Linked DNA regions of Caenorhabditis elegans. The protein of the gene in region 1 interacts with the protein of each later gene in a pairwise test. Each region holds a gene or a part of one and is shown on either strand. Other genes may lie near its edges. The genes, in order: nfm-1, C27H5.2, aly-3 and spk-1.

Region 1 (7,339 bases):
CTAAACAAGTTTTTGGCATTTATACTCCCTTTAAACCGTGCGCATAATCATTTTTCTGTTTCTTTCTTTAAAATTTCCTTATTCATCTTTGTTTCCCTGCCAAAGCTGATTCCGTTCTCGTTCTTTTTTTTTAATTACTTGTCAATATGCTTCAAAGTACGTCGGTTTAAATAAACTTCAGGTTGTAAAACTCACATTTCCATTCCCAGCATCATCAAGCAAAAATGGAATGTTATATTTGGTTCCAACTACCAATGGGAACTTTTCCACTGTAGTTCCAGATGAGATGAATCTGAAAGAAGTAATGCATCACATTTGACACTCAAAATTCTTCAGTACTCCCGAACTTACCGATATTCTCCGTCAGTTTCTGACAGAACCTTGTAGTTTGGCTCTCCTGTTTTCAGGGTTCCATACACGAAAACCTTGAATTTTTCGCCCATTTTTGCTGGAAATGAATTAATAAATTACAGATTTTTTCATTATTTTAAGTTAATAAAAAAACATTTAAAAAAAATCTGTATTCATCAATCATTCGATATGTATATTTACACAATATGCCTTTCGGAAAAAAGAAGAAAAATACGCGTTTTTGTCTTGCCACGAAAGATTATTGATTGAAAAATGGCAAAAGGGTGTGGAAAAATCAATAAACTGAATGAGCACAAAATGGGGTTATCTCTTATCGGGATGGGGAAAAACTGAAGAAAAAAAAGGAAAATCGGTTCATAAATGGCCATAAAGTTTCTTATCACATTCCATCAAAAGCTTGTGCTCGTTGTCGTGGAGTTCCTCGCATACTCTGAAATTATAAGAAAATTATAATTGGAAAATGAGAAGAATAATCAATCAATACCACACTAATGTTCATTTCAAAATTTGAAAAATCACAACAAAATACACCGACGGACAGGTTTGTGAAATTCAAAGATATAGTTTCACTAAAAAATGTGTGATTTTTTGAATCAATTAATAAAATTAATAAAGTCTTAGCGCGAGCGAAACTTTTCAGATACCGTACCCTGGGTTTTGCTTTTTCTTGTTTCTTTCTATTTTTAAAAATTTTTCGAGTTTTTGTTGTGAAAATCTTATTTTCCCTGAATAGGTTTACTACAAAAACATAAAAACTCAAGAAAAAGAATTTCCAAATAAACGATGGAACGTCTACTATTGGATACTGTAGCGGAAAAAATAATCTCGTGTCAGTACCCGACGTAACGATTGCGCTCTAAGAAATATTTTTCGCGCTGCGTTCATTGTTGCGATTCCTGATTTTTAAATTTTAAGTCAAAAAAAAACAATTACAGTGTGCATATTATTGAATTTATTCATAGAGCGCTTGAACCATGAATGTTTATTTTCAACTCTAACAAAAATACCAATCAACAAGTGTTAGAAAACAATAATTGGAAAATTAGTCAATATGCAAACACGCTCTACCACACAACAATCAAACTCTGGCACTATTTTCTCACTATATTCAAATGTCAGCTTCCTGCCATTCAGTGTTTCCCAAATCATAAGACTGCTGTCTATGCAGCATCATGACGTGGCTCAGAATACTTGACGAGCTCGTAGTGGATACTGTAGAGACACGTGGAATCCCTCGTCCCGCCACATGTCTAGCGACAGTATTGAGCTCCAAGGAATCGGAGGAACCCGATGAGCCAATTGAGCTTGCGCTTTTTGATTTTTTCTGGAGATATTCCGAAGTTAAGCGTCAAACTTACAAATGCCAAACGCGCGAAATTTTAATAAATTAGAAGCTTAACATATAATAGAATAGGATGAAAAAGAGATTTAATAACTTTTTGAACTTTTGACCTTCTGATCATGAGATCAGCTTAGTAACCGTTCAGAACGGTAGCATGCTAACAGAACTTGCTAAATTATCTACTTACCATTCTCATCGTCGTGAACTTATCAAAACCGTGTGCCACATTTTGTGCATGAACCGCATCATGCTCTCGATGCTGCCCATTTTGTACATTACCGTCTCGTTTCAGGCCGTCAATATCGCCACGTAATTCTTCCAGGTGCTCCTTGAAGATTCGCGCTCGTGTTTCGTATTCTGACCTGAAAAAATTTCTAATGTCACATACTATTCTCTATTAGGATTGTACCTCCATTGCTCAACTCTGCTAGCATATAATTCAGTTATCCTTTTTTTTTAATTACCAAACTAACCTTGATTTTTCCAACTCCATCAGAGTAGTCTGTTGCTCGAAAATCTGACTAATTGAAGGATCGGGTGGTGGAATAATCATACCAGATCCTCCGTAATATGGCGGTTGATTCTGATTTTGAACTTGAGTTTGTTGTTGATGAGCTTGAGTATTTTGAGACATTTGTTGTGGTTGTTGATGAGAAAGTGGTTGATTTGAAGGAATTGGGGAGGAAAATGCAGATGATGGCATATTCAGACTTCGAGACATCATTTGTTGAGGATGAGTGTGTGCTGAAAATGTTGTTTCCGTATAAATATAATCATATTTTTCTTATTTCTTATTTCTAACAAGACGTGGATTGGTCAAAAACAGTAGCAACTTGGCTTGCGATTTCATTCCCAAATTGGCATTACAAACAATAAATTAGTTTACAACTAGACACATTCTCATTTGAAGATCTTGAATTTATAATATCATTACCAAAATATTTTTTAGTGTTCTCTTTTTTGAGGCAACTTTGCAAATACCTGGCTGTGAGAAAATGTTGAAGTTACATAATCAAAAAAAAATTCGATAAACTGATTAGGGGGTCGGTTTTTATTATGTGATCTAGACTTTTTTGACTCGGCAAACTTTTATTCTTAACTTTTAAACATAGTTTTACGCCCATTGCCAAAATTATCATGCAAAAGTTGCTATAGATATTATACTTCTATACTATTTTGGAATAGACTTTTTTATTGTGCCTTTAAAAAAACTAACTGTCAAGTGATTGCAGTTGATGAAATGATCCTGTTGATGGCATACCAGGATGACCTGATTGATGACCAGATACTTGTTGATGCCAATTCTGAAAGTTTCTAAACCGTATTAATCGAGTATATCCTCTATCAATCCCATTACGGTTTTGTCAAGATTTACTCAAAATGGGAAGATTTTCCATTAACTTACCGGATCAATAATCAACGCAGACTGACTCGAATACTGTGTCATTTTCCGATTCGCGTCAAGGCTTACATCTGCTAGTGACATTGACATCTGCTTTGCCAAAATCTCAGCTTCCCGAGCTTTTCGTTCCATTCTCAACAGAGCTTCTTCGGACTGAAAATTAAACTTTAATTTCATAATTAATTTGATTTTTTACCTTCATATTATTCATACTTAATCGATTACATTCAGCTTCAACTTCACTTTTTTGCTTGTACAACATCAAAGTTTCATGTTCACTGTGTCGTGCCTTCTCTGCTAATTGATCATTCGCTTCTTCTGCCTTTCGTATATTTTCTTGAGCTTTCATTAATTCCAAAGTCATCACTTCAACTTTTTGTTTCATTTCCTTATATTCTTTTTCCATTTGCTGCCTCTCTTTTCGTTCCAATGCAACTTTTGCTTGTTCTGCTGCTCGACGTTGCTTGTCTTCTTTTGCTTGTGATCTCATTTGTTGAACCTGAAATATACAGTTATCATTTCGTAGAAAACTGAATAGAAATTTTCAAGTTGCCCTACTATAAAAGACACATACCTCTAACGTGTCTGGCTGCCTCCTCCTTAAATACAAATTGTGTGTTCCAATGCAAAGATCCAATATTGAAGAATCAATTGATGTCTCTCGTGATCGAAATGATATTGTGGATTTGTCGACGGTTTTCATGTGAAACTGAACGTACAATGGAAATCGTGAAAAGAAAATTTTAAAAAAATTACCTTTCGATTCTTAAATTGAATATTCTTAATCTCACTCCAACTAAAAAACGGCCGAGGTGTTATTCGATTCACTCCCTTATAGATTCCCAACCCTTGAGCGGATATACCAAGATGTAAGTCAGTTTCTTTGTTATTCTGAAAATAAATAAAATTATGTATCTCAAATTCAAATGTCCACAACCGTTCAAACAGAATCTCTCAAATAACTTACACAAATAGGATAATATAATATTCCATACATCTCCAAATCCTGTGCAACTCTCAAATACTCAAGTTCAGCTTCTTCTCTTGATTGTCCTGCATTCCGTGACCACCATCGTTTTATTCGATCTCTCCACATATCAGCACTCATATCATATTGATCAATCACACTTTTTGGTAAATGCTTGTCAAGATCAATTGGACCAACTTCTTCTGTACAGTCGCCATGCTGAAAATTAATTCGTTTTTACTAGATTTTGAATAAAGTGTATATAGATAGTTTTTCAGAAACATTTTCAGGCACTTGAAAATGTTTTGCCAATTTTTCTGGAAGAAAATGGGATTTTCAAATACTCTTCAAATATCCTTTCTGAAAATTTTAGATTTTCAAAATTTTACAGCAAAAGTTTTGGTAAATTTCGATATTGTAATTCTCAATTTTTCAGAAATATATTAAAAATTTTATGAGTGATTTTAAACACTTTCTCAACTGACGATCTTTTAAAAGTTCAATAAAGGAATTTAAATGGCATTTTCATATTTTGTAAAACCCAGTTAAAATACAAAAATCTTACCATTGCTTGAACTGCAAAACTGGCCAATAAAACACTTGCTTCAGGTGAACAATATAGATTCATTGAAAGTATTGCTTCTCGTATTTGTAAAAAGAACAAATGTCTAGTGGCATCTAGAATAATCTCAGGTTCCACGTCTTCTGGATAGAATTTGACAAGAAATAAGAAATTAAAAGTTCCATCAGATGTGTCTTTTTGGATGTCTTGGCCACAGATCTGGAAAATTTCAAAAATTAATTATTTTCAGAGAAATTATTTTTCCCAAAATATTTTAATTTGATAATTAGAATTTGGTTTTATTGTTGGAAATACCGTATCCCCAAAAATGTATTCAACAAAAACTCACAGTTTTATCATTCTGTAACCAACATGGAATATTCTTTTTATTTGTGAACTGTAGTCCAAAATACCAAGTTTCCCGTAATCCAATAATTCGACAAACTGCTTCAAATAAATGTCTTCCTGTCCATGTTTTCTCAATTACAATCTTCTCCAAATCAGCATCCATTGTGCTCACTTTTGCGTAAATGGGCTTCGTGTTTCGCGAAAATATCGAAAATCCACCCATTGCTATTTTTTGGAATTTTTGTAGGTGAAATTAGCCTGGAAGTTTAAGAAAAAAATAATACTAGCAACTATTATTCATTTCTGAAAAAAGACCGTTGTCTGCACATGAACGTATTGCACGTATTTTCTTTCCGTCAAGTAAGAACAACATCCAAAAATTCAGATACTAAAATTGCTTTTTTAGTTTCTTTGAAAATAAAAATTTCAGATAGTTTCAGTTTGAGGCAATTAGAAAATAACGTGGATTCCAATATTTCCGTTTAAAACTTCGGAAAGTTAGAAAAGTTCTATAGTCTCCGAAGTACTGAATTGGTTTCTCTAGGGTGAAAAATCAATAATGAGATGAAGCCCATCTTAAAAAAAGTATGTTAAATAGTTAAGAAAAGTGAAGAAAATCAATGTAAGTACGCCCCAGGGCAAATAGTGTTGTAACTGTATAGGTATCTGCGTCGAGGAACTCTATGCCAACTGTCTGTCTCACAAGAAGTGTTAGAACATATGAGAGGAAGGAGAGGCATTGGAACTAACAACAAGAGAAGATGATTGGAAGAGAGGACGAAACAATATTTCAACACTCATAATGATGATAGGTATGGAATCCCAGGTGCATTCATTGAAGAATAACTGATAAAAATATTGAAGAACAATGATTCAATGCCCCCAACTGATATGACGCATTGTGAAAATATGTGGCCTGGTCTCGTGTGAACAAGAATTTTCAGTTTTTCGATAAATAAAATAATGTCAACACGCCCTTTCCTCCTCCATCGTTTTTCTCCAAATGGTTTCGATACAAAAGTTACATCGACTGACGAGATTCAAAAAGATTCGCAGTCAGCAGGATTCGAACCTACGCGGACAGAGCCCATTTGATTTCGAGTCAAACTCCTTAACCACTCGGACATTCTTAACCACTCGGACATGACTGCACGTTTTGGTTTATTATCAAGTATATTTTCATTTTGTACAATTTCGAAGTTACAACGAAAAAAATGTGCGAAAAAATTGAAAAAAATTTAACGCAGTCAGCAGGATTCGAACCTACGCGGGCAGAGCCCAATTGATTTCTAGTCAATCTCCTTAACCACTCGGACATGACTGCACGACGAACCACAACTTTCGTGGCCTAGACATGCCGGGTGTTACGCATAATAGGAGGAGGGGATGGGGAGAAGTGGTCAATGGGGGGAGATGAAAGGGGGAATAGGGACAGTATAGAAAAATTCACACAATCGGTATTTTTCGATTGACTTATTATTATATTTTCAAAAGAGACATCAGTGTGAAGTGGGGCGCACTTGTGTAAGCAAAATGGCCAACAAAAATTCGAAAACTTCAGTAACTTTTCGATTAACCTCCCTATTCCTTTGAAGTCATATAATTTTCGAATGAAGTTTAAGTACATTTTTTCCATATTGAAAATTCAAAAATTCCAGAAAGATGAAATCCAGAAAAATGTTTCGAAAGTACAGTGTACTGATAGTGAGCTACAGTACAATTTTCGTAAGTACGCTCGATGGAACCTACTTTCCCTTAAATTTACAGTAACGCATTAAAGTTCTGCAAAGTTTCATAACCAATCTGCCAAAAAACTTCCTCATAACATAATTTGTTGTTTCCCATCTTTCCACTTTGCTCTTCGTACTCTGTGCCTGCTCCCACTGTCTGGCTCCCAACACTTCCTGCCGGGAGCCTCGGGAAATCCCTTCTTCCCTCTCTCTCTCTCTATCCTTCTCTCCCAGAGCTCCGAAAAAATAGGCGGAGCCAGAGCACACACTTATGCTCTCGCTCTCTGTGCAAGAGCCACCTCACTCAATTTTTGTGCTACTTCGAGAGTGTCGATGCCTCATTTGTTAATTGTTTGTTATTTGATGATGATAATGAATTGTTGTATCGATATTTAATTGCACTCTGCGTGGGTGTTATCACTTAAATATTAGAGTTTTTCTGGAAAAAAGGAGTAAACTTAAGAATTTTGGAGATTTTGAGGGAAAAACAAACATGTGAAAAGCGGAAGAAAATAGAGATATACATAGACTTTTAAAAGTGCTTTGTTTCCTTGTTATATTTCTGATTTTTTTTTTCAAAAATTTGGACTCAAAAAAATTAAAATATTTTCAGTGT
Region 2 (7,752 bases), on another chromosome or scaffold:
CCAATTAACGCTGTGTTTGATAATGAAATAATTCTGGACAAGATTTTGAACAATGTATCGAAAGATGTTTTTCCCTTGATACCGTTAAGGGTATGGATTTGTATTTCGAGTTCAACTTGTTGAAGAAAATATTCAATACACTCAACAAAATAGAATGCCAATCAATTGATTAAATGCTTCCGTTGTTAACCTTTTTCAATTACGTGCCTTTATATATTTTATTACTTTCAATTTATTCATAAATATAAACGTATTTTCTCGTTTTTGATTTGATTTTACGATGAAAGGTGGCTCAGTTTTTCCCATTGATAATTTTTTCTTAGTCAAACTTCTGTGCTGCTAAAACTATTTTCAGTCCTTCCCATTCAACATTAATTTTTCCAGCAAGAATTGTAGTGAAAAAACACAGTACTTCTCATTATCAAGCAATTTTTAGACCTAGCACTAGCCCAAATCAGTATAGTTTTTGTACCGATAAAAATTAAATCATATATGTAAACTGTTCATACTTTTTACAAGTCAGTGAAGAAACTCTTTATTACATACTCTAAATCTACGCCGTTATTTTTTAGATAGAAACTGAAGCACACTCGGATTATCATCAAATATTTTCATCGAATTATTTACAAAAGATCTGAAATTTCTCTGCGTGAAGCTGTGGCATCTGCTGCCAACGAAGAAACAAGCACATTGAGCTCAGCAACTTGACTATCCGATTCTGCGAGTCTTTCTTTCAAAACTCTCACTTGACGGGCTAGATCTTCCTGGAATAGTCGGAAATTGAATATGTTAGATATTTGAAATTATTTAAAGCGAAGCCATGCAAACATAAAATCAGCTTTTCACAGCAAAAACATGAAATAAAAATAATTTATTGAGAACTTAAAATAATCAGATATGTGTCGTGATTTTGTGAAATTGATTCATAATGAAATGATAAGCCAAATGGGTTTTTTTAGTTAAAAGCGAATTGAAGACGACAGACGATGGACTGGACTGCCGCTCACCTGAGCTTTTATATGCATTGCATCGGAGAGACGTCGAACTTCATGACGTTCATGTTCCAATTCTGATACTCTGTAATTATTCAGATTTAACACTCTTGAAACAATTAAATCTCACAACTATTATTAAACTTTGCAAAAATATTCATAAATTTTCAATAGTTTTCAGCTACTACAATTTTGGAAGTTTACCAAAAACTGTCTTTTCTACTATTTATATTTTTTTTAATGTTCAAACCTAGTAGAGCTTTGATAATCAAGAATGCCCTATAAAATGTCCTTATAAATTTCTCAAAAAGTCCAGGATTTTGAGACAATTTGCCAAAACTTTGACAAAAAGTTTTCAAAAACTGTGCTGGAATGGAAAAGTGGCCTATAAAATAACAGATTTTTAAAATGATATTGCAGTTGATTCTCCCATTTAACGGTATTCCTTGCTATTGAACAAAAACGGTTATGAATCCAAAAATTTTATTCATTTTAAAACTATTTACAAATACGAAAACTGATTAGGGTTGAGCATAACCGAGAAGGAAAACCGTTAAACGGAAGAAACCGGAATTTTTTGGGAAAAAGTGAGATAAAAGGAATATGGATCAAAACGTTCCAGGTACGTTGGAAGGAAACGAAAATTTGTGCATTTTCAGGGCATTCAATCAATTATTTTGGTTACTTATCAACTGAGACTGTTAAGATTTCTTTCAGATTATGGTTTAAAAATAATAAAAATATTCGAATTATCAATTACCAAGTCTACGAATCTACCAGTCCCAGATGACGTTTCTGAATTAAAAAATAGAAAAAATGCAAGAGTGATCTAGATAAGAGAATACTCGAGCAGAGGATCAGCTGACCTTCGAGCATTTTCTGCTGCTTCCCGGGTTGCTGATTCAAGAATTGATTGAAGATGGACAAGTTGTTCACGTAGAGATAACACTTCTGATTCTGCTGCGTATTTCTGAAATTAATTAATTTCTTTGGCATAAAATAACTATTAAACATTAGAAATGGATTTCTAACAGTCTCTTTTTCATCCCGCCCAATTTCGATTCAATTTTTTAAGTAGAAACTTACAACTTTATCCCAATCTTGTTGTTTCTCTTTCAGTTCTTTTGCCCAATTCTCATTCACACAAGCGAGTTCATCATCAACATGTGCAAATCTTCGTTCCAAATCTTCGTTTCTAAATTATAAATTTTCCAAAAATTTGTAATAACTCCATCAATCTAACCTATTCCTTAATTTAGCATTTTCCTCGAAAACCTCTGTATGAATACTTTGCATCTGTTTATGATTATCTTTTGTTTCTTCTGATTGAAGTTTCATATTTTCATTTGTTTTCCGAAGTTCCTTATTTTCCTGAATTGCGTGAATAAACGTTGGGATATTCTCATAATCCTCAATTCCAGCTGCATCTGCGAATGGTCTCAATTGATCCAGTTCCTGAAGTAGGTACATTTTATTGAAATCTGAATAACAATTGTTCTTACTTTTGACAAAATATCCTTTGATGAAGTAAGCATTGATATAGTATCAGACATTTCTTTTATTCTATTGTGACTTGTTTCAAGTTGAGCTTTTAGTCCGTGATTTCTGAAATACTAGTGAAATATGGAAACGTTTGCTATTCACCTCCACTTACTCCTCCTCTACATTCATCAATTTCATTTGCAGCTCGGTAACATTTTCCTCCAAATTTCCAGATTTTCGGTTCAACTCGCTGATCTGAAAATTATCAATAAATATTTGAAACTGGAAATCTTTGTCTTACAGTATGCCTCGACTCTTCCAATCGTTTTAATGCTTCACTGACCATTTCCAATTCCTGCTGTTTGCAATCAACCATCGCATTTGCTTCAGATAAATTTGTCTCGGTCTCCTTCAAGTTTTTTTCCAAAATTCGTAACGTTTCATTCATCTTTGTGATTTCCTGTCGATTGGCATCAATAATCTGATCTTTCGCAGTTGAAATACGGCATAAATCCAAAAATTGTTGTTCCAATGGGCTTAGTTCTCTTCCAGCGGTTTTCAACATTTGTGAGCGTTCCTAAAAAATTGATTTTGTGAAAACATCTTTTTGTGAATAAAAATGTCAAAATAAAGGATACCTACCTCAATTGCTTGAATCGGATCAGGGGTTACTGTAGATGATGAAGTTGATGAAGCTGTTTCACGAGAAGAAGTGTGTTGGCGCTTCTTTGTAAGATGGCTCATATCTCAAAGAGCAGTTTGTATGTTTGATTTCAGGAATAAATTGATTTCATATGGTAAAAATTATGAAAATTATGTGCTGAATGACCCTTCTCACCTATTTTCATTCCAGAAGCCAACATCATTTTCTGCACTGCTTGCACACTTTTTTCAAATTGTTTTGTGGCGTCGCTGTAAGAAGCAGTATGTCCCGAATTTCCAGCAGCTGTATGACATCTTTGACCTAAACAAAGTTGTTTGCGGTATGTCCTTGTGGTAAATCTTACTCAAAGTCACAAAGTATTCTCGATCATTCCATGCTCCGCCAGGAGCCATAAACTTTTTTCCATCAAATTTCACTGATTTCTTGCATGAGTCACCGATTTCTCGGTAGTACATCCCAGAACATCCTGTAATTTTTTTTCCTATTTATTTTCATTTTTTCTCATTCTCTCCAGTTCCTGCTGCTATCAATTTCTGTAAAACCCTTGAGAAAATATACGGATCAATAAGACACAGACTGTAACAGATAAGAAAAGCTTCTTCTTCTCTCTCTCTCTCTCTCTCTCTTTTTGGGCGCCAATTCTTTTGCAATTATTCGCATACTTTGCATACATGTTGATTCGATTTGATTACATTGAAATAAACCAAGAAAAAGGTTAGCAGAAATGAGAAGTGATAACAATTCTATGGGTGAGGTGACATGTTTGATGCCTACATCAGAGGGGTGTGTGGTAACAAAAATAACACGGACTGTTCCGCTATTATCTATTTGTCTTGTCAGCAGAAATTCACGTGAATCATCAAAAAATGATACAGTTTGTGTGTTGTCAAATGAAAACATTCACAAAAAGGAAAATTCAACAAGAATTTGGAAATTTCTGGCTACAGTACCTACAGTGTACTCGTGTTGATTGTTATTTTGAAAAAAGTCACAAAAATTATGAAAAACTGAAGAACTGTCTTCTTTCTTCTATTAGCTTCTCGGTTGTCTATGATTTGATTAAAAATGTTTTACAACTGCCAAATCCAAATGTTCTTGCTATTTTTTCTAGAAGTTTTTTGTTTGACACAAGCCTGAATGCATCAAATTAAAATGCATTATCTTCTTGTGTTCCGTTACAGTAACCCACCTGGAAATGCAGTTTGAAGTGAAGTCCACAAGATACCAGCATCTTCATCTAACTCTACTTCAACAGGTTCCACCCCGATTCGAAGAGATTTAACTGCAAACATATCTATTTTACTTTTAAATATCTCCCATCTTCCTTCCGTTTTATTACTTGTTTGATTAGATATGAAACCAAATTATATAAGTAGTTACGGGTATTGAAGAAGATGAAATTGTGTGGGGCAAAAAAATGTAGGCAAACACAAATTTTTTCAAGTTTTTGATTCGAAACACGATTCGTAGGTCATTGGGTAAATAGGCAAAATATCAACTGAAGATATAGAGACTCAGACATTGACATGACCGAATAAGCTCATTGTGCCGGAGAAAAAATGAGGAGAAGGACAAAAGAATTGAAAATGTTTAAAGAGCTTCTTGTTTCTATGTGTTTCTATGTGTGTTTTTTGAGTTTGAAAAATTAAAAAAATGAAATTGAAAGCGAGGAGAGTATTTATATAAAATAAACCACACAAAAAAAATTAAAAATTGAATTCCTATTATGCACATTAGAATTTTCGCCATATCTTACGTGCATGGGTCTCGCCACGCGGACATCGAGTTACTGTAGCTCATATTAATTTATGGACCGAGATTGTATCAACCTTTTCAAATTAAACGAGGTACTGGTGGCGGAATTGTATTAAACAAAAATATGATGTAATATCTACCTGTAAGTTCTAACGAGTTACAGTAACCCGTTGTCAGCGTGGCGAGACCCATGTTCATTAACCATTATCAAATAGTTTCAATAGGAAAGTTCAAAAACAAAAAAACTATTTTCAAAATTGAATACTTGTGCAACTACATAGATGTAATTATTGAAAATCAAACAGCTGTTGTGATCAAGGGTGTCAATGTCCCGTAAAAATTTCGAAAACGGGACAACGGGAATTCCCGTTCCCGTGAAAACACCCCAAAAACGGGACAACGGGAAAAACGGGAAACGGGAATTGACACCCTTGGTTGTGATTAATGCGCACGGATATATTCAGATGGGTCTTGGTGTGCGAAAAAGTTTATGGTAGTCTGCTTTTGGATTTTAGCGACTGCGTTTATTTTCAATAAAAACTACTGGTTATTCAGAATCAGATTTAAAATTATAATGAAAATTAATTTAAAAAAAACTACCATTAACTTTTTTGCGCGCGAAGACCCATCTGAATAAATCCGTGTGCCTTTGTGAAGGCATGTCAGAGTCTATTTAAATTACGATGTAACTTTCTACGTTTTTATCTTCAAATTAAATGTTCGTAGAGCCTATCAATCATAAAGTTTAAGAACTATACTTTAATTCTGAATCTAAAATAACTTTCATTGATAGTTTTATATTTTTATTCTGAATATGCGAGAATAATCTTACTAAAAATCTATTCTCATAGCGATTTCTTCGAATCTTACCTTGTAGTCCTGTAATACTGCTCATTAGTCGGTCGAAGTTTCGAACGGACAGTCTCTCCCGGGTAAATTGGAAGAATGAGAGGTGGGCGCCGAGGCAAAGGGAGGTCGAGACGAAAGAGATGGAGAAGCAGATAGTGTGACGTAGAGATGAAGTGCGGAGAGAAAACAGACAGTGACACGCAAAGCAGCTGATGGGTAGGGAAATGCGGACAATTGCAAAAAAAACAGATGTTAATGTGCAAAAATTTTTATTTTCGTTAAAAATAAAAAGTGGGAAAAAATGAAATATAAAAAGAACATTGAAATTTGAATGTATCGAAGTAGAATATAAAGGTGGATATAAAATTGTTACAAGTCTCTCACATTGAAGAGATCAGAGAATTTAAATTAGATGTTAAAATTTATGGGGAGACGAGTTGATGGCTCAATATGGACGGTATCGGTCACCTCCTGGTGGTCCTCCTCGTCGCTCGCCACCACCACCTCCGGATCCTCCATCTGGTCTCGGGGCTTGGCATTGATTGCATTCCTAGAAGAAAACCCGTGTTTTTTTTTTGAAAAAACAAAATTAACTAACTCTTCTGAAAGCGAAGTTGCTATTTCCGCACTGCTCACATGGCCAGTCATTCTTCCTTTGTTCCATATTAGCATTTCCGCCACCTACTCCACGGCCTCCTCTGAATCCTCCACGATCGCCACCACGGTCGCCGCCTCGGAATCCTCCACGATCTCCTCCGCGGAAGCCTCCTCTATCACCACCTCGGAATCCTCCTCGGTCTCCGCCACGGAATCCACCGCCACCACCGCGACCACCATCGAATCCTCCACGACCACCGCCGCCGCCATATCCTCCACGATCACCGCCAAAGCCACCACGTCCTCCCATAGGACCACCACGACCACCTCCGAAACCGCCTCGTCCACCACGACCACCTCGTTCACCTCCTGCATCAGCGCGGAACTTGGCTAGTGAAATACTCATCGGGCTTGAGCCGCCAGGGAATGGTTGCCCATTGTACATAGTTATAGCTTGTTGAGCTGCAGAAGCATCGACGAATGTTATCATGCATTCTCCTTTTGGTTCTCCGGTGTTGCGATCGGTGTAAATCTTGATTCTCGGTCCGCGATCGTTCTTTGCAATATCTCCGCAGGTACTGAAGACGTCGGCGATGTAGGCTTCATTTGCACTGAAATATAGATACATTTTTTAATTGGGCGATTACAAAACATACGTGGTGGAAATTCCCTGCACAAAGACGGTCTCCTTCAACTCAACTCGCCCATCGGATCCGAATTCGCGGTTTCCTGAAGCAGCACCACCGCCTCCGTATCCTCCTCCACTTGGTGGTCCGTCACGTCGGGGTCCTCTGTCTGCAATGAAAATATGAAAACTTTTACAAACAATTTTTTCGTCCAACTGTCAATAATATAAAGCACAGGAACAAGTATTTTTATATTCGTTTAATGTTTTTTGTTTTTGAATTTCGATGATAAACTCGGTAGGATACCCATTTTTTTTTAATTTTGGTAATAAACTCGTTGTGGTACGAAAGATAAAGCAATTTACGTATTCAATACCTTGATAACCTCCTCTTCCTCCTGGAGGTCCGCCCTGTCTGCAAAACATCATTCTTGAATGGAGTCTTCTGTCTTCTTCTCTCATGCTAACACCACAGTAAAATGTTTTCAGATTTCGACCGCGCAATAATACACCTTCAATTGATTTTTTTTTGTACGCACAAACACGATCATTTAGATTTTAAGATTTTTCAAGCATGAGAGATTTCAGACAGAAGCATCTCCTGCACGCTCGAAGTCGTTTGGTAGACTTCATTTGTTCTTCACTCTTGACTCGTTTTGATACCGAACACACGTAATAATAGCTGAACTGCATAATATTTTGAAGGAAACCGGGCCATAGCCCTACAAATCGATAAAGCACAATGAATTTGTGCTTCATTGCGGACACTGACCTTTTTTCATGAAACT
Region 3 (3,844 bases), on another chromosome or scaffold:
AATTGAAGTTTCTTCTCGTCGGCTGCATTCTCTGGTCTCCAGCCACGTGGCACATATCCTGGACCGAAGAATGAAGCGTTGAAGAGATTTCCTATTGTTAAATAATTCCACAATAAAAATGTTAGTGTATTGAAAAGTCCCATGTATGAAGTAACAGGCATCCACTGAAGAGCAAAAAATGTTGTTACTGCTCCAATCTGAATCAAATATTATTTTATAATGATCAAAATTATATAAAAAATACCATGGTTATTGTGGAGAATGCAAAAATGGTTCCAAAATGGAACATTCGTCTAAATACAGGCTTATCTCCAATTTCTGCAATTGGAGCAGGCCAATCCGGAGTCTCCACCACCTCACCCGTCATCTGAATTGATTAAATTTCAATAATAAAATATTTAAAATTAAATCAAATTTCGAACATAATTGTGGCGACCTGGGTGAATCCACATAACTGACAACGATATTCTTCCATCGAAAATCGACTTCATACTTGATCCAATAAGAAATTATTGACGCTCAGTTTATTATTTTATCGAATTTTTAAAATGTGGACAAAAAGATCACGAGAAAGGAAAGTAGTAGAACGATAAATATAAAAATTGGTGATTGTGTAAAATATTCCGAGTTATTAATGTGATAGAACAACAGAAGGATCAGAGATTATAGCAGATATCAAGAATGTTCAAAAAGTGATTTATAGTTTAAAAAAAAAGTGCTCAGGCATTTCGCTTCGCCATGTAGGCTTCGAGCTCCGCGTCGAGTTCAGCTTCGGTCTTCTTTGGTTTTGCATCACGAGCTCCACCACGGCCTCCCTTGCGGAATCCACCTCGACCAGCTCCGCCTCTCTTGATGTCACCGGCGTGCACTCCGTCGCGGAGGAAATCTTCTGGTTCTGAAAATAAAGATTATTCTGGTGAACACAATTTAATCATTAAAACGTACTGCCATTGTTTCTGCGAGGACCCGATTGGAATCCACGAGATGATCTTCCCGGTGAACTACGAGATCTGTTTCCAAAATCGACTCTCCCAGCCATGTTGCTCGAATCAATGACGGCGAATTTCATGATCTGAAATATTCATGTTCCATTTTGTGTCACCTGAGATCAGGATTTGGGTAACGGAGAAATCTTGAATAACCAAGTCTCGAGCCAATCAATTAATGCGTGTCGACAGCAACGGCTTTCCCCTCACAATCCATCTCACGACACGGGTCAAAACTAATTTCAACGAGCTTCATCGAATGAACGGCCACACTCAACAAAAAAACCTCAACACAGGTTTATTAAGTCTCTTTTTGAAAGGAAACAACGAGATTCTGATTGCCTGGGTCTGTTGTTGCGTACAGTAGATTTCTGTGAACTGGTAGAAGAAGAACAGAACGCATTCAGGAGCGTCCGCTGGAGCACACACTTTAATCAGGATTCAGCCCCAATTGATTGTTTCAAAGTCTTTGTTATCGATTTGTTGTATCCCAATGCAATACCTTTCCATCTAGAGCGACACCGCTAAACTTCTGAACAAGTCTCTCAGCATCACGTTTGGTGAGCGAAATGTCACCAGTACCCAATGAATCACCTGAAAATAAATTGGTTCAATACGGTTGCATATATTATCAAGCTTACCATGCTCGTTGAAGTTGACCGAAACTGAGCTGAGTCTGTAGTCGCCGAAGAGTTCCTCCAAATCGCTTGAAATGACTGTTGGGGCAAGATTAGAGATATTTACTCTAATAACCTTGCTATCTATAATCAAAATGAGTAGAAAATAAGATACATATTGATTTGAAACCCACCATTTCCTCTGCTTGAAATTCCATGATTCTGAACCGCGTCCAAGTCTTTCCATCCACCACTTCCGCCGGAGCGGCGTGGAAGTCCAGTGGGTCTCGTATTTCCTCGTCGAGCTCCTCCGAAGGATTTCTTTTGAATGCTTCCAGTTGTCTTTCTGGTTTTAGAGATGATGTCCTCAAGAGACAAATCGACATTGGTAGCCTTAACCATTTTTCGAAGATTGTTGGAGTTGAAACTGAAACGTTTTTCAATTGAATTAGAACGACAACATTTGGTTTAAGATCAAAAGTAAGTTCACGGGAAAAAACAAAGAAAAAAATTATAATTATTCGGAAGAGCAAATGTAGCGGAGACCAAAGTGGAATGAGAAATAATGAATGAAAAGATAGGAATGAGCAAATGAGGAAACTGAGAAAAACGCTGCGTTTGGTGACCGCGACGCGTACGCAACGCGGTCAACAGCATACGTTACCTCTTATTTGAATAAAATTCTCAACACATTTTTTTGCAGAGAATTAGGGAAACAAACAAATTGACAGCTTAAAATCAGTGTAGAGAAATTTTAACGTTTTTCAAATAATAATTCAAAGTAAGAAAAAGGATGGAAACAAGTATTTAAAACTAACGACACAACGAGTGGCTCATACAAAAAGTTTATTACTTCTTAAGGCCAATTGGCAACGAAAAATCATTCTTGAAAATTATTTTGAGACCAGTGATGTATATCTAGCAAAGTAACTAAATAGGATACAGTATTCATCGACGCAGAATTAACCGTATAAAATTCATCGCATCATCTTCTTCTTCTTGATCATCGTTGTCAAACTCTGGAACATGATCCCAATTTTCCTCTGTATCGCCTTCTTGTAATTCGTTTTGAAACGTAATTCCTTCTCGTTGAATTCCGAAAAAGCGTCGTGGTTCACGAGTCATGCTGATATATTCCCATCCAAGGTGTTCATGACATCTGGAGCACTGAATGATAATCCATGCGTACCTGAAAATCTGACTAATTTAATGATAAAGAGGTATTTGAATAAGCTGACTCTGGAAACCATGTGAATTCATATGATGGTGGTGTAGCTCGATCATAGTTTCGTATTTCTGACAGTAAGGTAATTTTGTGAACAAATCCGTGAGCATTAACATGAGTCATTGTTTGATCTGGAAGCCTCATGATATGTTCATTGCGGAAAATTGGAATGCGACATCTAGAACATCTCCCGACAAATACTTTGAAATACTTCAGAGCAGCAACTATACGACCGTTCGCTGAATCTTCTTTCAAGAGACTGTACTCAGTTAGCCGATTAGAGAAAATATGCTTTGCAGCAAAATAGCTGAAGTATGTGAGGCCACGATCTTTAGCTTGTCTCACAGTGTCATCTCCAAGCATTCCTGAAAGTAGTCCCACGCATTCATTCACAGCACTTTCTGTAACATCTCGAATAGCATTGAATGGATATCCATTGATTCGGGTTGCAATTGAACGTTTTTCGTGAGCAGGTAAATGTATTGCATATTTCGGAATAAATGATGGAAGTAACGATGGAAGTTCGACGTCTGGTAGCAATTGTACTTCTGCTTCACCACGCCCTCTGAATTTGAAAGAAATTAGAAGGAAATTATGTTTCGTAAAACTTACAAATTATACTTCAAAACTTTACATCTGTAGACGCCCATCAACTCCATACTCAGAGCGTTAGAATTTGCTTGAACAACTCTAGAAAGTGTAGCAATATATGGGAGTGATGTGCATTCTGGAATATCCAATGGAAACAGTACAACAAATCCATTAGCTCGAGCACTCGATACAAGTCTTTCATAGATTTCTCGTTCATCATCGTGGAATTTCATCGGGAGTTGTTGCCCTGTAAACTAATATGAAATCGGGAGGTTTTTCTTTTTAAATGTAACTCACCAGGAAAACAAACAGCACTGACTCCACAAATCGGAAACCAATTTGTTCCATAATCTGTGAGTCTGGCTTCATTTTCATAATTTTCTCTATTTTCATTGTCTTGAAGAGCATAATCGAATCTGTGAGTC
Region 4 (7,764 bases), 3.3 Mb from region 1:
CCTTTCAGGGAAAATATTTTGTGTGAAACGAAGTACCAACGCCGATTTTCCTGTAAAGTTTCTCAACGTGAATGTCCTTGTTTAAATAAAGTTGTTTTAATTTTTTCATTGCTTTGTTCAATTTTGCTCCCGGTATGTTTGATTTTCTACAAAAAAAAGTTGTCGTAAACGCTCACCAACATGAGGATATCCCATAACGGCCACTTTTCGATTCAGACTCTGACGATTTGATTGCAGCGAACTGCTCATCTTCACAAAAATGAGTATATTCTGAATATTGAATGATTGAGTTTTGATAGAAGTATAAAAAATTAATAAATAAAATAAAAAGGGAAAAGTAAAAAAATTATTTTTTTAAACACTCATCATTATTTTTAAATTCTCTATTAATATTTAACATGTAGAAACAAAGAAATGATGTACTTTTGCAATAATATGCGCTTTTTTCCTGATAAAACGAACTAAAAACCAACTGTAAATAGAGAATTGCAGGCGAGAGAGCGTGTGAAAATAAGAGACGGAGGCGCATGATACACTTCTTGGCAGCAAGCCAAACCCACCGTACCCAAGCAAACCTGCAGATCAAACTCGAGATCGATATTTCTGGCGCAAAACGGCCGCCAATTTGAGCCCTCCGCGTTGAAAGCGTTATTATCATTCGAAATTGGCATAGGTCTTATCAAGAATTATATTTTATGTTTGTACGGGCAGATATAATCTTTTTATCATCATTTTTGTTGTTCAATTAACCTCCGCAAACTTTTAAAAACTCAAAAACATTTTCCTCTGAAGTGTTTTCTTGTTTTCCCCGAATTTTGATGAGTCCTATTTTATTTATTTGTATCAATTTCAGTGAAACGAACCGTGTTTAAGTGTAGAATATGGGCGGACCAGAAAAAAACAGCACAGTACCACTGCCAAATAAGAAAAGGAAGAAGAAGACCAATAAGAAAAAGGTGAGCATTTTTCGGTTTCTGTTCAGAAGTTTTCCCTTTTTCTAAACACTTACACTTTCGAAAAATTAAAGCTCAGTCTGTTCTGACACTAAATCGAACCCAAAGAATACTCTTTTTTTCTAATGGCCTCTAGAGATTTGAAAACTTCAAACAGCTCTGTCGCATTCCCTTCATTTCACGCACTTCCGAGCTTACTCTCTTGGATGCGAGCCCTCCACTAATATATTCTCACATCAGTTTTAACTTAGATTTCTCCTTTGCCTCAAGTAAAATGAGAACGGCTTCATTATGAGCCAGTGGCAGCCGCTAATGACCCAGGGGTAGAGATAACCACTAATTTTCTTTTCTTACACTAGTTTTAAAACAAAACAAAGTGAAAATTTATGAGCATGCTTAGTATTTTGCATTCAATACATTGGCTATATCGCCGATTGAATGTGAGTTTAATAGAATTCTGCCATTAAGCTTTTTTAATCTTCATATTTCAGCCCACAGCACCAAACACGCCTACATCTCCTCAAGCGGGTGAGAAAAACGCAAATTTGAAAAATGGAACAGTTACAACAAACGGATCAAATCACGTGGAAAGGTGAGATTTTGAGTTTTTTTTTTTAATATGCTTTAATTACATCGCTGAAACCGGGACCAAAATGATTATAAGTTGTTTGGTGTAATCGTTGCATCGTCCTTTTCTCATGACAGCAACTGGTTGTCTTTTCACTTCGTCTCAAATGATCCCACCTTCGTGTGTCCGTCATCCATCCACCCATCCATCCATTCGTCCCTTCTTTTCTATCTTCTCTATTCCTTCACCTTGGCCTTTTCTCTCTGTCAGCTGTCTCCTCTTCGCGACCTGGCCGACAAGTTGAAGATTGAAACAAGGAAGAGAGACCCAGGATTTCCTCTATCTCTTGTTGGGCGCCGCAATCATTACATCACTATCACTTGAACACTCTTCCTTCTCACACCGATCGCGTTTTCTTCAAGTCGCTCCTCGCGCCTCGTTGGCCGCCGCCAATATTCTCGAGACACTTCTCGCGCCGCTGATCTTCCTTATCCCCCTTCCCACTCTCAAAGCGTCGCAACTCGCTTCTACGTGGTCGCTATTTCAAAAAAAATCGCCTGCTTTTGAATCCAGTTTTCTTCTGTCAGGCTGGCCGGTCGAGCAGTACATTCGCTCTCAGCTATCGATTACTCGGGTATAACAAATGATGTCGAAGCAGGCGGCTCCTTCAGCTTAACTGACGTTTTCCCCACTGTCATATTCATGTTTGTGGTTCTATTCTGTAGATGGCTCAATGGCTTCAGCCAGCATCGAGAACGACTTTATAAATTCGAAGATGAAGCCGTTCAGAGACGCCGCCGTTTTCGTGTTCATTCAGAGGAATCGGAAGAACTGAATGACCACGAATCGTATTCTGAAACTGATATTTGTACACAGCTTTTGGCATCATCTGCAGACGTAACCTGTCATATAAATGTTGATTTGGTCAACCAGAATCGATTTTATTTCTTTGTAAAGCAAAGAAATAAAAAAGAAAATTCGACCAATGAAGAAGAAGAAATCTCTTCCCAAGAAATAAATACGAGTACACAAAATGAAGAGACAGAAGTTAATTTAGTGTTCGCTAGTGCGGAAGATAATGGAGGCGTCGCGTCGAATTTCGATATATCAGACGCTCTAATGGTTACCTCTAACATTTCCGAAGTCAGTAAACTACCGGAAACGTTGTGCGAAGAGGGTGAAACTGTACAACAAAAAAGTGTTGTAAATGAGAATGATCATTCGAATGAGGACGATGAACAGTCGCTACAATCACAAGATGGTTCAAGATGCTCTGATGAAGACATGAACTCTTGCGTATCTGCCTCAGATGAAGAGGACGTTGAATCTCAAGATGATTCTTTTCATGTGAATGATGCTACCGAAGAATCAATTGATTCGGTAAGCTCTATTGAATCACAAGAAGCAGAAGAGTCAGCAACTGAAGATTTGGCGTCGTGTCATTCGAACGACGATAAAAATGAAAAAGATGTTCTTGTCGATGAGGACACATCCAAATACGATAACCTTCCGGTGGAAATGCGGTCAGCAAAAGAGGGTGAAGAGAGTGAAGGGACGATCGATTCTTCAGTCTCCTCGTCGACATCGTCTTCCTCAACGGGCGACGACGGGGACGACAGTGCTACCTCTTACGACTCAGAAGATATCGAAATTCAGATGTTCGAGTATGATCTGGGAACCGCATGCGCTTCAGCTTCTATTTCTATTCCTCGTCCATCTATAATTCCAAGAAATAACAAAAAGTAACATTTATTTTCCATTAACTAAATTAGTATTACTAATATCAATCAGAAACTGTCTTTTAATTTACATTTTTCAGGACCGAAGTCAATGCTAATGAAGAGCGTTTGGACGATTTAAGTGTGAGCCCCGGACGAAGTGATTCTCCTGGAGGCGGCGGTGGTGGACATTCAGATTCATTCCAAGATCCAATGGTGAGTTGATTTTTGCATTTCATTTTTTTGTATTTATACATATTTATTTTCAGGATCCTGGAGAACAACTTGGATCTGACGATGAAGAACAAGAAGATCCACGTGATTACAAACGAGGTGGATATCATCCAGTCAACATTGGTGATGTATTCAATGCGAGATATCATGTGATTCGTAAACTTGGATGGGGTCACTTTTCTACGGTTTGGCTGGCGTGGGACACTCAAGACAAACGATTTGTTGCCATGAAAATAGTGAAGTCAGCGGAGCATTACACGGAAGCGGCTCTTGATGAAATTAAGGTTAGTTTTGAAGTAACGTAGTGCTGAAACAATAGATTTTTATGCAACATTCTCTGAGACTCGAGAAAAAAAAATTAAGACTAATATAAAACGAGAATAATTTCAGTTGTTGCTATCCGTACGAAGTGCTGATCCAAATGACATCGGATGCCACAAGGTTGTTCAATTGCTCGATGAATTCACTGTTACGGGAATTAATGGTCAGCACGTTGCTATGGTGTTTGAAGTTCTTGGGTGCAATCTGTTAAAGCTGATTATACGCTCAAATTATCGAGGACTTCATCTGGAACAAGTTAGGAAAATATGCAGACAAGTTCTGGAGGCGTTAGGATATATGCATGAAAAGTGCGGCATCATTCATACTGATATTAAACCTGAAAATGTGCTAATCACGATGAGCCGAGAAGAGATCAAGGTATTTTTTAAAAACCATTAATTGTGGAATTAATTTTTCAAAATTTTACAGATTATGGCTCAACATGCTGTAGTTGCCCGGAAGATGAATATGAAAATGAGTGGATCGGCTGTCAGTACTGCACCGGATCATTTGGTGAAAATGGCTCAGGAGAATATGACGAAAAACAAGAAGAAAAAGATGAAGAAGAAGGCCAAAAAACAACGAGAGAAGTTGGAAGCGGAATTGGCTGGACTCGAAGGCCTCAAAATGGACGCTAATGGGCTGCAGGAGGCATACAATAATGCACCGGTAAGTTGAACACTATACCGTTCTTCTTCTAATAGTATTGCACCCCAATACTTGAATTTTTAAATTTGAAAGAATATATCTCTGTTCATTTCAAAGATATCATTTCACATTTTAATTTTGAAACGATAGAAAAAGAAATAAAAAAGTATTTTCTTAGTTGACAAACATTGGAAAAGTTTCGATGTGCAATAATAATAGAGGAAATACGCTGGTAATTTTTAAAAAATCAAGATTATACTCTATCAATCATAATTTTTTAAAAAACGAAACAAAAACGATAAAACTGATATATAGCAAAATGGTGTCCGAATGCGTCCTCCATCTTTGCTCTTCAATGGTCCGATTCCCCAACTGCTTCAAGGCAGTTCTTGTGTGAATACGCCATCGTCTCCAAGAACGGTTCCACCGCCACCACCATCTCTCTATCCACAGGTTGGATGCGTCTGCAATCAGACGTATCATCTGACACAGGTGATCCTGAATGCGAATGTTGGTGTGAGTGTTTGGTTGTGTTGACATGATGATGGTTCCCTTCTACTCTCTCTTCCTCGATTCACACACTTATTTCCACTCTGCAACCAAAATTACCGGAAGACGCTTGTATATTCACACGTACCTCATTTCTCCTTCCGTTTCTTTATTTTAAAATTCACTGACTATTTAGTTTCGGTTTTTTTTGCCGCTGCGCCCTGGATGCCGTCTGCATTTTTTCGTCGTTTCGTCTTTGTTGCAGAAAATACATCAGTGCTGTATCTAATTTTTATCATATATAAGCTTAAACATGTTGTGAATTCAGTTTAGAAAAAAATCTGAATCAATTAATTTAATTTTTATTTTTTCAGGAGTTGGAGAACTTCAACGCTTCACAAGTGGAAGATGTCACCATGGAAGATACTGTCAATGAAAATGGAAACAGAAACAAGGTATGATATATTTCATTTTTGTAGCCACAACCATTTATATTTTCAGGTGGAAATCAGGAGCCCTGATCGTTTCGATAGAACCACGCTGACTCCATTCAGTGATCCGGAGAGCAAGTTTGGAGATTTGGCCTCACCATCCGCCGAATATCTGAGCTCGCCCATGAGCCAGTTGCCTCCAGGTGGTATCCTGCCTGCTCCTCCAGTTGGCCCCAACATTGGTGATCCATATTGTGACATCGACGTCAAAATCGCTGATCTCGGAAACGCGTGTTGGGTGAATCATCACTACACGGACGATATTCAAACTCGTCAGTATAGAGCACTTGAAGTGTTGATCGGTTCAGGATACGGACCTCCAGCTGATATTTGGAGTACCGCGTGTATGGCTTTTGAATTGGCAACCGGTGACTATTTGTTTGAACCACACCAAGGAGATAACTATTCACGCGATGAAGATCATCTTGCGCACATTTCCGAACTTCTTGGAGCAATTCCACCGTCAATTTACAAAAAGGGTAAACATTGGAGAGAGTTCTTCCACAAAAATGGACACTTACTTCACATTCACCAACTTAAACCATGGTCACTATACGAGGTTTTGAGACAAAAATACGAGTGGTCTCATGAAGACGCGCAGCAGTTTGAAAGTTTCCTTCGTCCGATGCTTGATTTCGATCAGGAGAAACGATCTACGGCCAAAATTGCATTGAAACATCCGTTCTTGTTACCATTTGGAGGAAGAGCGCCAAAATCTGATTGTCCACCTGAGGTTTTATATTAATTGTCTGTTCAATATTTTCTCTATAATTTTTACAGCTTCTGAGCAAGATGTTTCCGGATGGATTGATTCCCGAGCCGTTCGACGGAAATGAGCATCAGGAAGTTTACCGTGACGAAAATGATAGTAGATCGGCGAGGTTCGTAAGCTCGGACCGACGCGGATGTAAACGCAAATTGCAGCGAGAGGAGTGCCAATAGCAGGTCTGCGGGCGGCAGCGACGACGACGACGAGGAGGAGTTCAACATGAATCGACCTGGTCCATCGGGGGTGATAACAAACAATGAAACGACCGACATTTCTGACATTGAACGCTTTCAGCTGGATTTGCAGTAGTGCACGAATCCCTCCTGTTTGTTAACACTTCCATCACCGTCTCGTCACTCTTCAACGCCCTCTTGCACATCTCCCGAGTTAAACATGTTCTCCTGTCAATTTGACGATATTCATCTTTATGTTTTTCCTTTTTTCAATCAAATTTTACTCGTTTCTTGCCTACGATAGGTGAAAAGAAAACACTTCGGGCTAATTTTTTTTTTCAGCATTTTCCAATCTTTTGTTCCAGAGTGTTTACTTTTATGTTTTGAATCTAGACAGTGTTTAACTTATTGTTTCGGATTTCAACAATCATCCGACTACTTCATCTCCCCATTCTCCCTGTCACTTTCTACATCGAATCACCGCATCCTTTCTCTTTTTTACCACCGTTCTTCCTGAAGTGACTGAGCAGTAAGCACGTTTAGCGCCACTCTCGTGCGCGTCTCGTTGAAGCGCCTTTTGATCTTTAGTGCTACTGGTATAATATAATTATTTTGTACGAACATCGTCCTTATCCTCTGCCCAACAACATCATATGCTTCTATCAGCCTCAAACAGTAGATCATCTTTTCCCCCCATTTCTTTTTCATTTATATTCCTCCGTCTGTTCACATACCCAAACTATTTGGCATAAACCTTTCTCAAATCTTTACTGTGCTTCATTGCTTCCTTTCCCCTTCTCTCTCTCTCATTATCTCGGTTTCCTCGTAGACATAAATGATTGAATTTTGTAACGTTAGCGAGATAAAAAATAATTGATTCATGTGGGTGGTCGTCGAGAGATCGTAACAAAAGAACAACAAAACAAAGCGGGAGAAAATAAAAACCTGTTAAAGGATACGATAATAAACATCATATAAAAACTTGAATTGAATTTTTCACGCCAGGACGTATGTCATGTTAATTCCTGATGGTCCGATTGAGGTCTGATCCAGATATCCATGATTTTCATGTTTCACAAAATGAATAAATTGAGCGATAGCACGGAAGAGATTGGGTGATTGACGGAGAACGTTGCACTTAATTGCATATCCATTTTCATCAATGTGCACAAATTCAGCGTGTGGAGGAGATTTTGTAACCTGAAAAAACATTTCTTGAAGTGAGGAGGAACAAGAGTGAATTATTATAAGCCATACCATGTGAAGATAGAAACTGAATGGAGTACGTTGAGCAGATGATGGTTTTTGAGCATTTTTGACACAGAATCGGCTGGTGAATGGCTGGTCAAGGCTGAAAATTGATTTAATTTTTAACACAATTTATTGAATTAAACGTTAAA

What was found.
Region 2: the proteins of nfm-1 (region 1) and C27H5.2 interact in a two-hybrid assay, tested with the Caenorhabditis elegans proteins (one large-scale study listed by BioGRID).
Region 3: the proteins of nfm-1 (region 1) and aly-3 interact in a two-hybrid assay, tested with the Caenorhabditis elegans proteins (one large-scale study listed by BioGRID).
Region 4: the proteins of nfm-1 (region 1) and spk-1 interact in a two-hybrid assay, tested with the Caenorhabditis elegans proteins (one large-scale study listed by BioGRID).

Annotation. Positions count from the first base shown.
Region 1 is NC_003281.10:6,157,756-6,165,094, reverse strand, and holds nfm-1 (FERM domain-containing protein), read right to left. Parts: upstream 5,607-7,339; 5' UTR 5,217-5,606; coding exon 4,995-5,216; intron 4,865-4,994; coding exon 4,649-4,864; intron 4,303-4,648; coding exon 4,084-4,302; intron 4,008-4,083; coding exon 3,873-4,007; intron 3,826-3,872; coding exon 3,691-3,825; intron 3,616-3,690; coding exon 3,313-3,615; intron 3,270-3,312; coding exon 3,120-3,269; intron 3,019-3,119; coding exon 2,931-3,018; intron 2,459-2,930; coding exon 2,188-2,458; intron 2,077-2,187; coding exon 1,902-2,076; coding exon of another isoform or gene 1,890-1,901; exon of another isoform or gene 1,697-1,889; coding exon 1,481-1,696; 3' UTR 1,476-1,480; exon of another isoform or gene 1,469-1,475; intron 803-1,468; coding exon of another isoform or gene 752-802; 3' UTR 510-751; downstream 1-509. Other genes in the region: F42A10.9 (Gamma-glutamylcyclotransferase family protein), read right to left, coding at 196-292, 352-443.
Region 2 is NC_003280.10:7,153,719-7,161,470, reverse strand, and holds C27H5.2 (TAR DNA-binding protein 43 N-terminal domain-containing protein), read right to left. Parts: upstream 5,891-7,752; 5' UTR 5,789-5,890; coding exon 5,764-5,788; intron 4,421-5,763; coding exon 4,328-4,420; intron 3,605-4,327; coding exon 3,482-3,604; intron 3,439-3,481; coding exon 3,313-3,438; intron 3,221-3,312; coding exon 3,117-3,220; intron 3,052-3,116; coding exon 2,776-3,051; intron 2,730-2,775; coding exon 2,647-2,729; intron 2,598-2,646; coding exon 2,495-2,597; intron 2,448-2,494; coding exon 2,236-2,447; intron 2,188-2,235; coding exon 2,079-2,187; intron 1,963-2,078; coding exon 1,859-1,962; coding exon of another isoform or gene 1,822-1,858; exon of another isoform or gene 1,788-1,821; coding exon of another isoform or gene 1,766-1,787; exon of another isoform or gene 1,462-1,765; intron 1,078-1,461; coding exon 1,008-1,077; coding exon of another isoform or gene 960-1,007; exon of another isoform or gene 857-959; intron 765-856; coding exon 624-764; 3' UTR 510-623; downstream 1-509. Other genes in the region: C27H5.12 (Ferrochelatase), read left to right, coding at 1-123; fust-1 (RNA-binding protein FUS), read right to left, coding at 6,188-6,292, 6,341-6,950, 6,996-7,134, 7,342-7,379.
Region 3 is NC_003282.8:12,121,475-12,125,318, reverse strand, and holds aly-3 (Chromatin target of PRMT1 protein C-terminal domain-containing protein), read right to left. Parts: upstream 2,038-3,844; 5' UTR 2,006-2,037; coding exon 1,798-2,005; intron 1,748-1,797; coding exon 1,628-1,747; intron 1,581-1,627; coding exon 1,489-1,580; exon of another isoform or gene 1,073-1,488; coding exon 946-1,072; intron 896-945; coding exon 720-895; 3' UTR 510-719; downstream 1-509. Other genes in the region: dhhc-6 (Palmitoyltransferase), read right to left, coding at 1-197, 245-367; M18.6 (CULT domain-containing protein), read right to left, coding at 2,552-2,792, 2,842-3,393, 3,441-3,666, 3,717-3,844.
Region 4 is NC_003281.10:9,455,761-9,463,524, forward strand, and holds spk-1 (Serine/threonine-protein kinase spk-1), read left to right. Parts: upstream 1-1,767; 5' UTR 1,768-2,223; coding exon 2,224-3,263; intron 3,264-3,340; coding exon 3,341-3,455; intron 3,456-3,508; coding exon 3,509-3,757; intron 3,758-3,863; coding exon 3,864-4,172; intron 4,173-4,223; coding exon 4,224-4,463; intron 4,464-4,757; coding exon of another isoform or gene 4,758-4,934; intron 4,935-5,305; coding exon 5,306-5,386; intron 5,387-5,432; coding exon 5,433-6,155; intron 6,156-6,202; coding exon 6,203-6,303; intron 6,304-6,346; coding exon 6,347-6,500; 3' UTR 6,501-7,247; downstream 7,248-7,764. Other genes in the region: rheb-1 (GTP-binding protein Rheb homolog 1), read right to left, coding at 1-50, 177-249; B0464.6 (uncharacterized protein), read right to left, coding at 7,361-7,564, 7,622-7,715. UniProt on the Caenorhabditis elegans protein: Required for embryogenesis and germline development in both adult hermaphrodites and males. SR-protein kinase (SRPK) that binds directly to and phosphorylates the RS domain of rsp-3/CeSF2 in vitro.